Coturnix japonica: one gene and its partners. The protein of the gene in region 3 purifies or fractionates together with the protein of the main gene of each other region. This does not show direct contact. Links are inferred from orthologs where the notes say so. Each region holds a gene or a part of one and is shown on either strand. Other genes may lie near its edges.

Evidence for each region.
Region 1: the proteins of GLMN (region 3) and FKBP5 purify together in Homo sapiens (affinity purification with mass spectrometry; 3 studies listed by BioGRID and IntAct, with this or other methods). This does not show direct contact. The link is inferred for Coturnix japonica from reciprocal best matches to the Homo sapiens genes GLMN and FKBP5.
Region 2: the proteins of GLMN (region 3) and cullin-9-like purify together in Homo sapiens (affinity purification with mass spectrometry; 3 studies listed by BioGRID and IntAct, counting the BioPlex papers as one, with this or other methods). This does not show direct contact. The link is inferred for Coturnix japonica from reciprocal best matches to the Homo sapiens genes GLMN and CUL9.

The regions. Positions count from the first base shown.
Region 1 is NC_029541.1:463,426-467,569, reverse strand, and holds the start of FKBP5 (peptidyl-prolyl cis-trans isomerase FKBP5), read left to right. Parts: upstream 1-1,322; 5' UTR 1,323-1,383; coding exon 1,384-1,428; intron 1,429-3,088; exon of another isoform or gene 3,089-3,266; intron 3,267-4,144. UniProt on the Homo sapiens protein: Immunophilin protein with PPIase and co-chaperone activities. Component of unligated steroid receptors heterocomplexes through interaction with heat-shock protein 90 (HSP90).
Region 2 is NC_029518.1:3,479,295-3,483,492, reverse strand, and holds the start of cullin-9-like, read left to right. Parts: upstream 1-1,372; 5' UTR 1,373-1,474; intron 1,475-1,786; 5' UTR 1,787-1,800; coding exon 1,801-2,389; intron 2,390-2,575; coding exon 2,576-2,730; intron 2,731-3,040; coding exon 3,041-3,544; intron 3,545-4,198. UniProt on the Homo sapiens protein: Core component of a Cul9-RING ubiquitin-protein ligase complex composed of CUL9 and RBX1. The CUL9-RBX1 complex mediates ubiquitination and subsequent degradation of BIRC5 and is required to maintain microtubule dynamics and genome integrity.
Region 3 is NC_029523.1:12,319,407-12,323,032, reverse strand, and holds part of GLMN (glomulin), read right to left. Parts: intron 2,614-3,626; coding exon 2,426-2,613; intron 2,004-2,425; coding exon 1,950-2,003; intron 1,051-1,949; coding exon 1,020-1,050; intron 660-1,019; coding exon 570-659; intron 207-569; coding exon 165-206; intron 53-164; coding exon 1-52.

The DNA of each region.
Region 1 (4,144 bases), on a different chromosome or scaffold from region 3:
ATACCTAAAAGGGGCAAGGGGCTCAGTTTGGTGTCTCCATTGCTGCAGGAAGGACTCAGGGAGCAACGGTGTGCTGGGCTCAGAGGTGTTGCGGTTTGCAGGAGGGAGGGAGCAGGGGATGAGCTCCTCTCCCTCTCCCTCTCCCTCTCCTCTCCTTTTTCCTTCCCCTTCCCCTTTTTCCTTTTTCCTACCTTTGGGCAGAAGGCTTTGCCCTCACACTGTACATGGTGTGGGAGCACATCCCCAGGTTGTCACCCCAAGGGTACCCAGGTGTCAGCATGCCCAGCTATCACTTGGGGTGCCCAAGCTCAAGGCTTCACCCTGATCCCTGTCCCCACCAGGGACAGCCATATGCCAGAAGGATGACTGACGAGGGACAAGCAGTGCCCTGGCAGCTGTGCGGAGCCTTCAGAGATTATTCCTGGAATTTTGCTCCAGAGGAGCAGATTTCCTCCTGGGATGGGGCAGGCACTGGGGGGGAGTGGGAGGGAGCAACACACCCAGCACCAGGGCTTTGCACCCAAACCATGCAAGACTTCCCCCTGTTGCAGTGCCACGCTGCAGCACGTCCCCACTCTTCCTATGCCCACGGCTGTCTCCTGTGGGCCCCAATCCTGCCATCACCTCCCTGCGCCCCATGTCACTGCTGGGGGCTGCAGCTCCGCTCCCAGCCCAGCGCAGCGGGATCTTGCGTAACGCTGTGCTACAACACCCAGGCACTGCGGGCGGGTGAGGCGAGGACAGGGCTGCACCGTGCATTTCCTGGCATGGGGAAGTTGACGTCAGCTCGTGCTCTTCTAACATCGAATTTCCTTACAAACACCAATTGCAAAGTTGGGCTGGGGGAGGACTGAGCCCCCCCACGCCGCGCTGCTGCTACAGCCGCTGGAAGGGCTCTGGTACAGACACCCCGGTGCCCTGCTCCAATGCAAAGTCTCGTACACGTTTAGTTTTCTCTGCACGTGAACAAATGGAGCGCCGCAGTCACGCGCAGCCCAACGCAGCCCCCACAGCTGCAGCTTTGTAGGATGTTGGCTTCAGCGCGGGATCCTGCACGAGGTGCAGCTGTGTCAGTGATGCCCCACACACTCACACTCACACTCACACTCACACTCACACTCACACTCACACTCACACTCACACTCACACTCACTACCTGGTGGAGAGAAACGCAGTGATTGGAAACGTCTCGGAGCAGGAGCCGGGATCAGCGGGTCACACCGCGGGGCGGGGAAAAGCTCTGATTTGCATACCGCCTCCACTCCGGCCAATGAGAAAGCGTTGCGGGCGGTGTGGAGCAGACGGGCGGACGAAGCTACCAATGGGAGATGGGGAGAGGGGCGGGGCGAAGCGACGGGGAAACCCGGCCGGCGCGGGCGCGCGATGCCACTTCGGAGCCGAGCGGTGGCGGAGCGCGGGCGGCAGCAGGTGGGGCTGGGATGGGGGTGATGGGAGCAGCATCACGCGTGGGGCCGGGATGGGGGTGATGGGAGCAGCATCACGCGTGGGGCCGAGCCGTGTCGGTTGTGGAGTGTGGAGAGGGGGGAACGGAGCGTTACGCCCACGGAGGGGGCGAGGGAGGGACTGAGGTCCGTAGCGCTGCGCCTTTGGGTGCGCTCCGCTCGTGCCCACGGAGCAGCGCATCCCTCGCGGCAGAACCGGAGTCGGACTGAGATCGAGTTTGAGATTAGGATCGGGATTGGGGTTCGTCTGGCGACTGGGACCGGGATTAGGATTGCGATTGGGGCTGGAATCAGGATTGGGATTAGGATCGGTATTAAGATTGGGACCAGGATTACAGTTGGGATGAGGACCGAGGCCCGTCGGTACTGCAGTGTCCAAAGAGGGGATTTATTCTCAGTCAGAAAATGAGGCTGCTGCGCGGTGAGGATTTAATGAGTTTCCTAATGGCATTGACCAAAAATACCCCCGAGTGCAGGCAGCAACGTGCAGTTTTATTCAGGGCAGGTGCAGCAGCGTGGACAAAGTAAATGGGGCGTCTGGTTCAGATCCCACTGTTTCCTCTGCCTGTAGTGGTGTGGGTCTCCCAAATCATCTGGATTTTGTGTTTGTTTTTTCACCCAACCCACACCTGGCAGGATGTGCTGCTGTCACCCCAGCTGTCCCCTGGCTGTTCTGACCTATGGGAGTTACAAACTGTAAGGGGTAACCCAGGGTTGAGCCAAGTCAGTGTCCCCGTGGTGCTGTGGCAGGGGATGCCGTGTGAGTCCTGGACCCCATCGTGTGACATTACACTGCCTTGGTGGGCCAGGATGTGGGAGAAAGCAGGGAGAAAATAGAGTGGGAGTAGAAGATATGGGGTGGGAGGAGGAAATATGGGGCAGGAGGAGGAATGTAGGTTTCTGTGGAGGTGCTGGAGATAGTGATAGCTGCTGGAACCCTGGGAGGGAAAAGTGCACCCGATGGTGAGATAGTAGGGAGTGGCTCTGGATGCAGCCATGGGGTGAGCCTGGAGGTGGTGCTGGAAGAAGCCTCTGTGATGGCTGTGGTTTGGCTCCAGAGGTGGCCATGGGGCAGCCATAACAGGGCCCTGGAGGTGGCCACACATGGGACCCGGTGCTGGGGAACCCGCAGGACACGGGCTGCATGTTCCCGTGAGGTCCCCTCCCCTTGGGACGAGGAGGGACTGGGGTCAGTTCCCTGTGAGCAGGGGGAGAGCAGCACCCGAGATTTCTAGACAGCAGACCCCAAACCACCCTGCTGAGAACGCCCCTGTGCAATTAGGTGGGTTTTAATTGCAGCCAAGCAAAGGAGAAGGCTCACTAGGAAGCTTGGAGGTGCTCCACCTGGACACCCGGGCCTGCCCACCTTTGTTAGTTCCTCAAGGATAATTAGCTGCTAGATGAGCCCAGGGAGAGGCGGTCTCAAGTTTGGCCAATGCTTCCACCCCATTGTTCGGTGCTGATAAAGGCTTTGCTGAGCTCTGAGCTGTGCCACTGCTTCTCGGCTAGTCACTTTCTATGCTAGTTACCACGGGAGTCTGTGTGCTGCAAGGAGGTGGGGAGATGCATTCCAAAAGCATCCCTGGGCACCTGCATAGCGCCTTGTGTCAATCTTTAACCCCCAGCACAGGGAGAACACCGGGAAACACTGCCCAGATAGGAGCAGACCTGCTTAGGAGCTGCAGAAATTGGGGGTAAGGTGCTGCTAGTGGTGTGTTCTGCAAAGTGGGGAATCTCCGGAGCTCTGTGAAGGAGCTGCTCGCAAACAGTAGTGCTGCTTGTGGAGAATTGCCCTAATTAAAGGTATTCCCACTTCAAGGAGTTTTTAAAATTTACGTTAGTTGCTTAATTAAATCAAACTAGCCCTTGGCAGTGTTGTCTTGGTTGCCAATAACAGTGTTTCTGGCTGTCAGCGCAGTGTGCACTGTTGGTGTGTGCATCACTGGTTTGTGCATACTGGTGTGTGGTTGCACACGTGGTTGTGCACACGTGGGGTATGCATTTGTATGCATAAGTGGCTGTGCACATTGTGCATGCACGTGTAGTTGTGCACATTTGCATGCGTGTGTAGCTCAGCAGAGGTCCTCAGAACCTGCTCTTGCAGAAGCTTCCTTGCATCTGACTGCACCTTCACCTGAGCACTGCTTTGTGCAGGCAGAGGTGGAGGTCTGTGCCCCATACAGGTGTGCATGGATTGATGTTCTGGGATTTCACTCTGTGCTCTCAAAATGCTGCTGAGGATGTAAGTGATGAAATAGAGCCCCCTATTACTGGAGAGCTGCTGCAGTTGAGGCTCACCTGGCTGAAAGGAACCGGTGCACTGCAGAAAGCCCTCTGTTACAAGCACTGAGATGTCTTTATCAAAATCTAATGTTCTTTCCTGAATTTATCCAGAAGAAAACTCTAACTTGGAAGAGACCTGGCGTACGGGAAATCCCTTGCTTACCCCATGCTATAGTGACATGTGCTCCTCATGCATGGGGATGTGGTGCAGCAGGGATGCAGCAGCAGAGCCCAGTTAAGTTTGTTCCGTGGCCTGCAGGCTGTGTTTTGGTGTGCAAACAGGAGCAAATGTGTTGTTTTTTTCAGCCTGGAAGGAAATGAGACCACGTTCCCCTCTGTTGTGTGAGCAGCGATGAGCTCGTGGCAGCTCTGCTGCCCACAAAGCGGAGATTTACAGA
Region 2 (4,198 bases), on a different chromosome or scaffold from region 3:
AATGGGGCTGGAGGAGCCTCAGCAGGGCCACAGGAGAAGGACTGGAGTGTGCTTGGTCCTGCATGGGAGCTGCTGCCTGGTCCTGGCCCTGCAGGGAGAGCGAGTGAGCAAAGGAGCTGCTGCATCCTTAGGGGTAGGAGCAGCTACTGTAACTTCTTTTTTTTTTTTTTAAGTTAAAGACAAAAGAAGCCTTGGGGGGAGGAAAAAAAAAAAAAAAAAAAAAAGGAAAAAAAAAAAAAAAAAAAAAAAAAAAAAAAAAAAAAAAAAAGAAAATGACTTTATTTTTCTAAGTGTTAAACTCAGTATTTATGTAATACTTTAAGGAATAAAAGTTTGGCTCCTGTACAGTTTTCATGGGGTTTGTACCGGGGGGATGGGAGAGGGGTGGGTGGGCGTGGAGGCAGGAAGGGGCCTTGCTTTTGAGTTTGTATTGTAACCTTGGACATGTTCCCTCCACGTTAGCGTTTAACTGTGCTGTCTGCTGGGATGTCCCGGCCCTCCCTGGGAGATGAGGGGCTGTCAGCAGCCTATCTCTGCTCTCCCTGCCCATAGTGCAGGTGGCACCTCCTGAACTCCCAGCTGAGGGGCTGGGCTGGAGTTTCCCCCTCCACAGCCTCAGCTTGTGCTGTTTTTTAGCGCACGGATGTGGCCGGGTTCCTTCCATGACCTCTGCAGAGAGCTTGGGGTGTGCGTTAACCTTGCCCCAAGCCCGTTACCAGGGCTGTGCTTTGCTCTGCTTTGCTCGTGCTGGCCCTATGGGGCTGCGATGGCAGTGCCCTGCTGGGCATCTCCTCCCTTCCTCCCCAAAGGCAACCGCTGGTTAAACGCTAATGGTGTCTTTTATTTAAGTGCAGACTTGTAAGAACACTCGTGTATCAGGGACGAAACGGCATTTATTGTGTGGTGACATTTTTAATTCATTTTACTGGTTTGAGGGTTGTGTGTGTGCGTGCATGTGTGCGGGTGTGTGTGTGCGTGCATAGGTGTGTGTGTGTGCGTGTGGGATTCTTTTTTCCCCTCCAGTTTCCAGGGTCGTGTATCTGGAAGGATGTGGAAGTTAATCACAGTACTATGTACAGAGCTTTCTTTTGTATGGGAAAAAAAAAAAAAAAAAGAATAAATTACTCTTTCAATAAATGTTATCATTTTGTGCACAGAGCTGGAGTCTTGTCCGTGTTTTGCAGGTGGAGGGGCATTAGGGAATATACAGCCAATGAATGGGGAACTTGGGTAGACCCTACTGCACAGCCCTTCTACTGTACAGCCCCCTATTGTACAGCCCCCTACTGCACAGCCCTTCTACTATCGTACAGCCCCCTACTGCCCAGCCCCGGCTGCAGGCGGTGCCATCTCCCCGCCCCGCCCGGCGGCATCGCGCAGGCGCCTGGCGGAGCATTGCCGGACACGGAAGCGGCTCTGATCCGTCCCTCCGGTCTCGGTGGGGCCAGGCCCGGAGCCGGAGCGGCGGGCGGAGGTGAGCGGGGCGGCCCGGAGGCGGAGCTGGGCCGCGTGGTGAGCAGAGCGGCCTGCGGGCATCGGGCTGCTCCGGGAAGGGCGGGGAGAACGAGGGAAGGTGTGCGGGGATGGGGAGCAACGTGTGTAGGTGACTCTTGTTGGTTCCAGTGCGACAGCGAGAGGCAGCGTCTGCATGAAGCCTTGAGCTCTGCGTGACCTTGCAGTCAGCGCTCAGACACTGAATAACAAGGGCGAAAGCAGGAGTGCAGGAGCAGTGATTTGTGCAGGGTGTCGCTGGGAGATGCTGACCCGCTCCCTTCTGTTCCCTTAGCGCCGTCCGGCACGATGGTGAAGGACGGGCAGGAGGGCGGGCTGCTGGTGCAGCTGGGCCCGCAGCTGCAGGCCTACCCGCACGAGCTGCTGCGGCAGCGGCGCGGCCCCGACGGCGCCCCGGAGTACCTGGTGCGGTGGCGCGTGGTCGGCGCGGAGGAGCGGGCGGCGGGAGGCGGCGGCGGCTCCTCCGCGGGGCTCCGCTCGGAGAGCGTGGCCACGTGGCTGTCGGCGGAGGAGGTCCGCGCCGGCTGCCCGGCGCTGCTGGGCGGGGGGGAGCGGGCGGGGCCGCGGGCGAAGGAGGAGAGGGCGCCCGGCCCGCCGCCCGCGCCGCCGGACGAGGCCTCGCTGCTGGAGATGAAGGCCGACGTCGGGAGCCTGGTGCGGCGAGCCGGGCGGCAGCTGGCCGGCGGCGGGACCCCCGCGGCCTCCGTCCTCCACACCGTCCGCGTGCTGAGCGCCTACGCCGGCATCGGCGCGCTGGCGGGCGCCTTCAAGGAGACGGGAGCCCTGGAGCTGCTGACGGAGATGCTGTGCCACCGGGAGAAGCCGATCTGCCGCGGCGCCGCGGAGATGCTGAGGGCTCTGGCGCTGCACGACGCAGGTGGGGGCTGCTGCGCAGGGCGCCGGGCCTTTGGGAGCAGCGGGGCCGAGCGGGGCTGGTGGCTCCGTGCTGTCATTGGCCTGGAGCCGCTCCTCTGCCCTGCTGATCTTCCAAGGTCTGTCTGATGCAAGGAGGATGGTATCAGAGTGCTCATTAGGGTACCTGAATGGTCTGTTATTGTTACAGGGATTCGGGCCTATATCCTTCTGTCTCTGAGCCAGCAGGATGGCATTGAGCAGCACATGGACTTTGACGGCCGTTACACCTTGCTGGAGCTGTTTGCTGAGATGATGTCCTCTGAGGAGCACTGCGTGTCCTTTGAGGGGATCCATCTCCCCCAGGTAGTGGCAAGGCCTGCCAGCTCTGGAATGGGCAGAAATGAGAGTGGGGCCCTAGAGCTGGCTGGTGTCCTGCTTGCTGGAGATAGAAGGGTAGTTGACAGTAGGCAGCTGAGCAGGACCTGGTATTGCGAGGGCTGGCACAGGGTCTGGTGCGGTGAGGAAGCAGGAGGAGAGCCTGCCTGTGGGCAGGGTGGGCCGAGGGGGGCTGTGTTGCTGCCTGCTGGTACGCAGCCATTGCAGAGCCATGGATGGGCTGGTGAGGGCGTGAGCTGCTCGTCCAGCTGCAGTCTGACGGTGCTGCCTGTTGCAGATCCCCGGGAAGCAGCTGTTTGCCCTGGTGAAGCGCTACCTGTGCGTCACTTCTCTGCTGGACAAGCTGAGCGGCGGCGAGGAGCAGAGCGAGGAGTGGCAGGAGAGCAGCCGTGTAAAGCAGGAGTTTGAGTTCAGCATGGCTATGGCAAACCTCATCTTGGAGCTGTTGCGCGTCATGGGCTGGGACCACAGCCACAAGCCGGAGCCACCGGCCCAGCAGGAGATGAAGCCTCGCCCCACCCGCTCCATCTTCCAGCCTGCAACCCCAGCCTGCCTTGCCAACCGAGTGCCTGTGCTCTCTTCAAACTATGGTTGCCAGAAAAAGCAAAATTGTGTCTTCTTGACCCCATCAGACTTTGCTGACCAGAATGGCTACGTGGAGTATTTGAAGGCAAACCTGGTGCATGGCATGCGGGTGCGCATGCTGGAGGACTGTGGTGATGTTAGAGCTGGGGATGAGGGCAAGTTTCTTCAGAGCTGTTATAAGATGCGCACGGCACAGGTAGGTCACTAGTGGAAGAATTCTGGCTGGGATGGCAGAGGGGAGTAACAGGTGGCCTGATCACTTGATAATGTCTCTGAATAACAGCAATCCTTCCCAGCTGTGCCTTCTGGCAGATTACTTGGCATCTTGCTTCACTTTCAGTTGTGTCACCTTCCAGATCTGCGTCCCTCTTCCCCCTGTTGCTTTACTTTCTCCTGTTCACATATATTGCAGCAAAACATGTCCTCAGTTTTGGACCATGCAGAGATGATTTTTTCATTGTGGGTCCCCTGTACTCAATAACTGCTTTGTGTCTTGTTTTATTTTATAGGGGATGGTAAACCTGCTCTGTAACGCCTTTAACAGTGCCATCCATAAGGAGATAGCCAAAGGAAATATCTTTCAGAGAAATCTTTATTCACTGTTGTGCTGAAGTGAATTCCACTGCACTTAGTCTATTTGGCCCACCAGTTCCCCCTTTTGTTTATTTTTCTACCTGATTAAGCTGAATGAACCTCCCATTGCTTATTTTATGTTGGTTGATTGCTTTGTTTGTTTTTGCAATTGCTTTGCATTCAGCTAAAGCCTTTTCTAAGGCTTGTGTTACTGGCAAAACTAGATCTGAAAGGTAATCAACATTCAGTGAAGAAGTTTTTTAGCATTTACATTTTC
Region 3 (3,626 bases):
CTGCTTCAAATTTATCTATGAACAATTGCAAAATACTCAAACTCTTCTTTCTCTAAAAAAACAATCATATATGTATTAAACGCTAATAATAACAAAAATAACATTATATGATTCATTCTAATTAAACTCAGTACATAAATCATTCTGTAGGTCACATTACATACCAGATGCTCTATGGGACAAAGGGTCATAACTTTCACCAAATCCTGCAGTTAGACAAAGAAACTGTAATTACGTGCACATTATTACATCACTTTGAACAAAATCTGATCAAGGTATTAACAAACAAGCCAGGCCACTAACAGTTGAATCCAAATAAAAAAGCAGCTGAAGTAGCAAGAGCCACCTAAAGTATAATTTGTCATTATAACTTCATGCCGCAGTGTGTATCAGAGGATAAACAATTCAGTGTAGCATGCAATTCAGTACAGCATGACACTGTAGGTTTCAGTCTGGCAACACAACTGCATGAAGGTTCAGTAGCACATCCTCCCTCCAGCGCTTAGAAAACAACTGGGTATGGTTTATTATCAACTACAAAGGCAGTTCTGTACACTGCTTCTTGTTACCTGAGGCACATTAATAAATTCTCTGAATTCCAAATACTGATGAAGAAGGCCATTATCTTCCACTCTCAATAAACAGCTCTCAAACAGATCCTGAAGGTGGGAAGGAAAAACAAACACTTTGCATATATACAAGACATTGATCTGTATGCTTAATATTTCATAGATAGAACTACCTTTAGTACAATTCACATATTTGGATCTCCCAGGAGCTACAAATTTAAGTAGTAATGGTAGTTTACATGTATGCAAATGTGTGTAATGTTCAGTAAATTATTTTAAATGGTTGTAAGACTGAAGAACATCTAAGCCTCAAAATACTTCTGAAACTGAAAAGGTATGAAAAAAATTCATACCTTTCTAAGAAAGAGAAACTAAGGTTTTACAATACTAAAATTGAAAATAATCAGCATTCTAACAATGAACATGTGATCAAAGGAAAAGTAAACTTACAAGTCCTTTAGATAGCATAGATTCTTCTGTTCTGTAAAGAAAAAGACATCAAGTTGTAAATTAAGGAGACAATAATGATCTTTGATGTGAAATAGTAGATTACAAGAAGTAACTTGGCTGTTAACCATTTTCATTCTGATTTCTAAACACGATGTCTTCTTTTAGTCTCTCAAAAACCTTTTACAATATATTGAGTATATATAATTAATAAAAGCTGCAAATTAGACTCCTTTCTTTAGGGTAAGAACTGCTTAGTTGTTTTCCCGTCTTAATATCTGTGAGGTAGCAGCTCATATCCCACAGGTATCAAGATATTAATTAACAACGAAAATAAAACTTGTTCCAAATTGTTCTATGTGCAGAGATAGCTCTGTGAGACAAAGAAAAACACACCAAATCCTAAAAAGAAGAGGCCAAGAAGTTTTGTTTTACTAGGAAATAATAAGGAGTCATAATCAGAAACTTCTCCCTTCTACAGCAATGCTAGAAAATATTTGGTCAACATTGCTACTAATGGAAGGCAAAATAAACATACAGAGAAGCTTGGTTTCCTCTAGAAAGACAGACCTCTAATCAGATAGTGCTTACCTGAATGTATTCTGATATGATACACAATCTTATACTCCTAGAGAGTATACAGAACTACAAATAAATATACACTAATTATTCTACCTTAATTTTGAACTCCTGAATAAATTTTCTAAAAAGAATAGATGTGTGTTTTAGACAATTTGCTAAAGCTCTTAGAAAAAGAGAATATCACCTTGTCACAGAGCTTGCAATTTTAACTGACAGCTTTAAGGATCACCTTTGAACTTATTTGGCATAATCAGAATTTGATTCTATGAATTATTAGAAAAGACCAGAAATAAAACATAGGACAAAAATTTCCCTCTACTATCTGGAGCTCCAAATATCATATAATCCTACCTTTTCAGCAGCACTTCTATATGTGTCATATTGCACTGCAGAAGGTACGAAGAACTAAAAAAGAAAGTTAGGTCTATATTAAAGTGCATAAGCATTTTCACAGCTAATCCATTTGAAAGCATTAGTCCTTCTGGAAAAACCTATAGAAGTGTATTTACAAAACTAAAAGTTCTGAGATAGGTGCAAAGCACAACATCCAATTTCTGTTTATAATTCATATCTGGCATCTGTCTACATAATTGTAATACAAATTAATTTTCAGTGTAAGACTAATCCTATCAGTTTATTTAAAAGGTCAACTCATCTACAATCAAACTGTAGTAATCTGCAGAACTGCTGAACTACATAAAGCTGCCACAAAACTAAAATTGGTGAAATACAGTTTTCATTAATGGCTATTAAGAATAAAATAGTTTTATTTTGTTCAGAAGTTTCCAAGTGCAAACTTAATGTAAGTGAGGAAGAACAGCTCTTACCTAAATACCACTGGTAAGCAATTGATACCAAAATGCTGAACAAACATCAGGTATGACAGACATGCCAAAGAATCTGCAGAATTCTTTTGCTCTACGTCCTCAAACTCCTGATTCTCCCAGTATGATCTTCTCCTTTTATGATGTAAAAACACTAGTGGCATTAATTCTCTCATATCCAGCAAAATGCCCTAAAAAAGAAAGTTAGATTTCACTTCATTGCCTTTAAAAATCTGTATGTTTAATAAATTACAAAGCTTAAACAGTCTTTACAGTAAAATACCCTAAGTAGGATATGTAGAAATCACTATAAATATTTTGTTAATATTTATGATACATACACAAATAAAAAACCTTATGGGAAAAACAAACTGTCAGAAAAGTGCTAAGACAGCAAAGTCAAGCACTCAAAAATTAGCAAAACACTTCACAAAAGTCACACTGCAAAACCTAATCTGGCTCCATTACCTATAGATGCTGTGAATAATAATGGCCTCCCGACCACATTATGCCACAAGACTTTTGTTTTTCACAGAGTACTCAGTATTTTGCTCTCTGACTATTAACACTATGCAACATGATGTTCACCTGCCAAAGGCAAGGCCTGTTTTAAAGTTAGAATTGTTCTGTATGGCCTTTCCAGCAACTCACAGCAGGAAGACACTGGAGAACTTCACAACTACGTGTGTTCTTTTCCCCAACACATCTGTGTGGATTAAGAGTTAATGTAATTTCTACTGTATGAATTATAGAGAAGCAGAGGTTAATCCATCCTTCCACTGCTGTCCAAACCAAATATCCAAGGCCTGACATTCTGGAGAATAAGAATTACATCAGATGTCACGTACTTAAATGCATCTTTACCGACCTTAGCCACAGTACTCATTAACCAATTCCACAAAGAGCAGAAGTGGATTTCTTGAGAAAACAAAGAAAAAGTAATTCATAATTAGCATAATAAATGTTTTCGGACTGTGCCCAATGGGAAAGGCAGGGATAAAAGCCCGTTTTTCAGAGCAGCCTTAACTATCTTAACCTTTCTATCATATTCTGGTAATCTCTGCCTCCATCACTGCGCATCTTAAAAGTTCTGCAATAAAAGAAGCAAAGGTCTCACAGACAAGCTTCTCTTTCATTGCACAGCTCTAATTAATCCATGCAACAGTTCCATCCTATGCTGACTGAGATATTCTGTGGAAAAAAA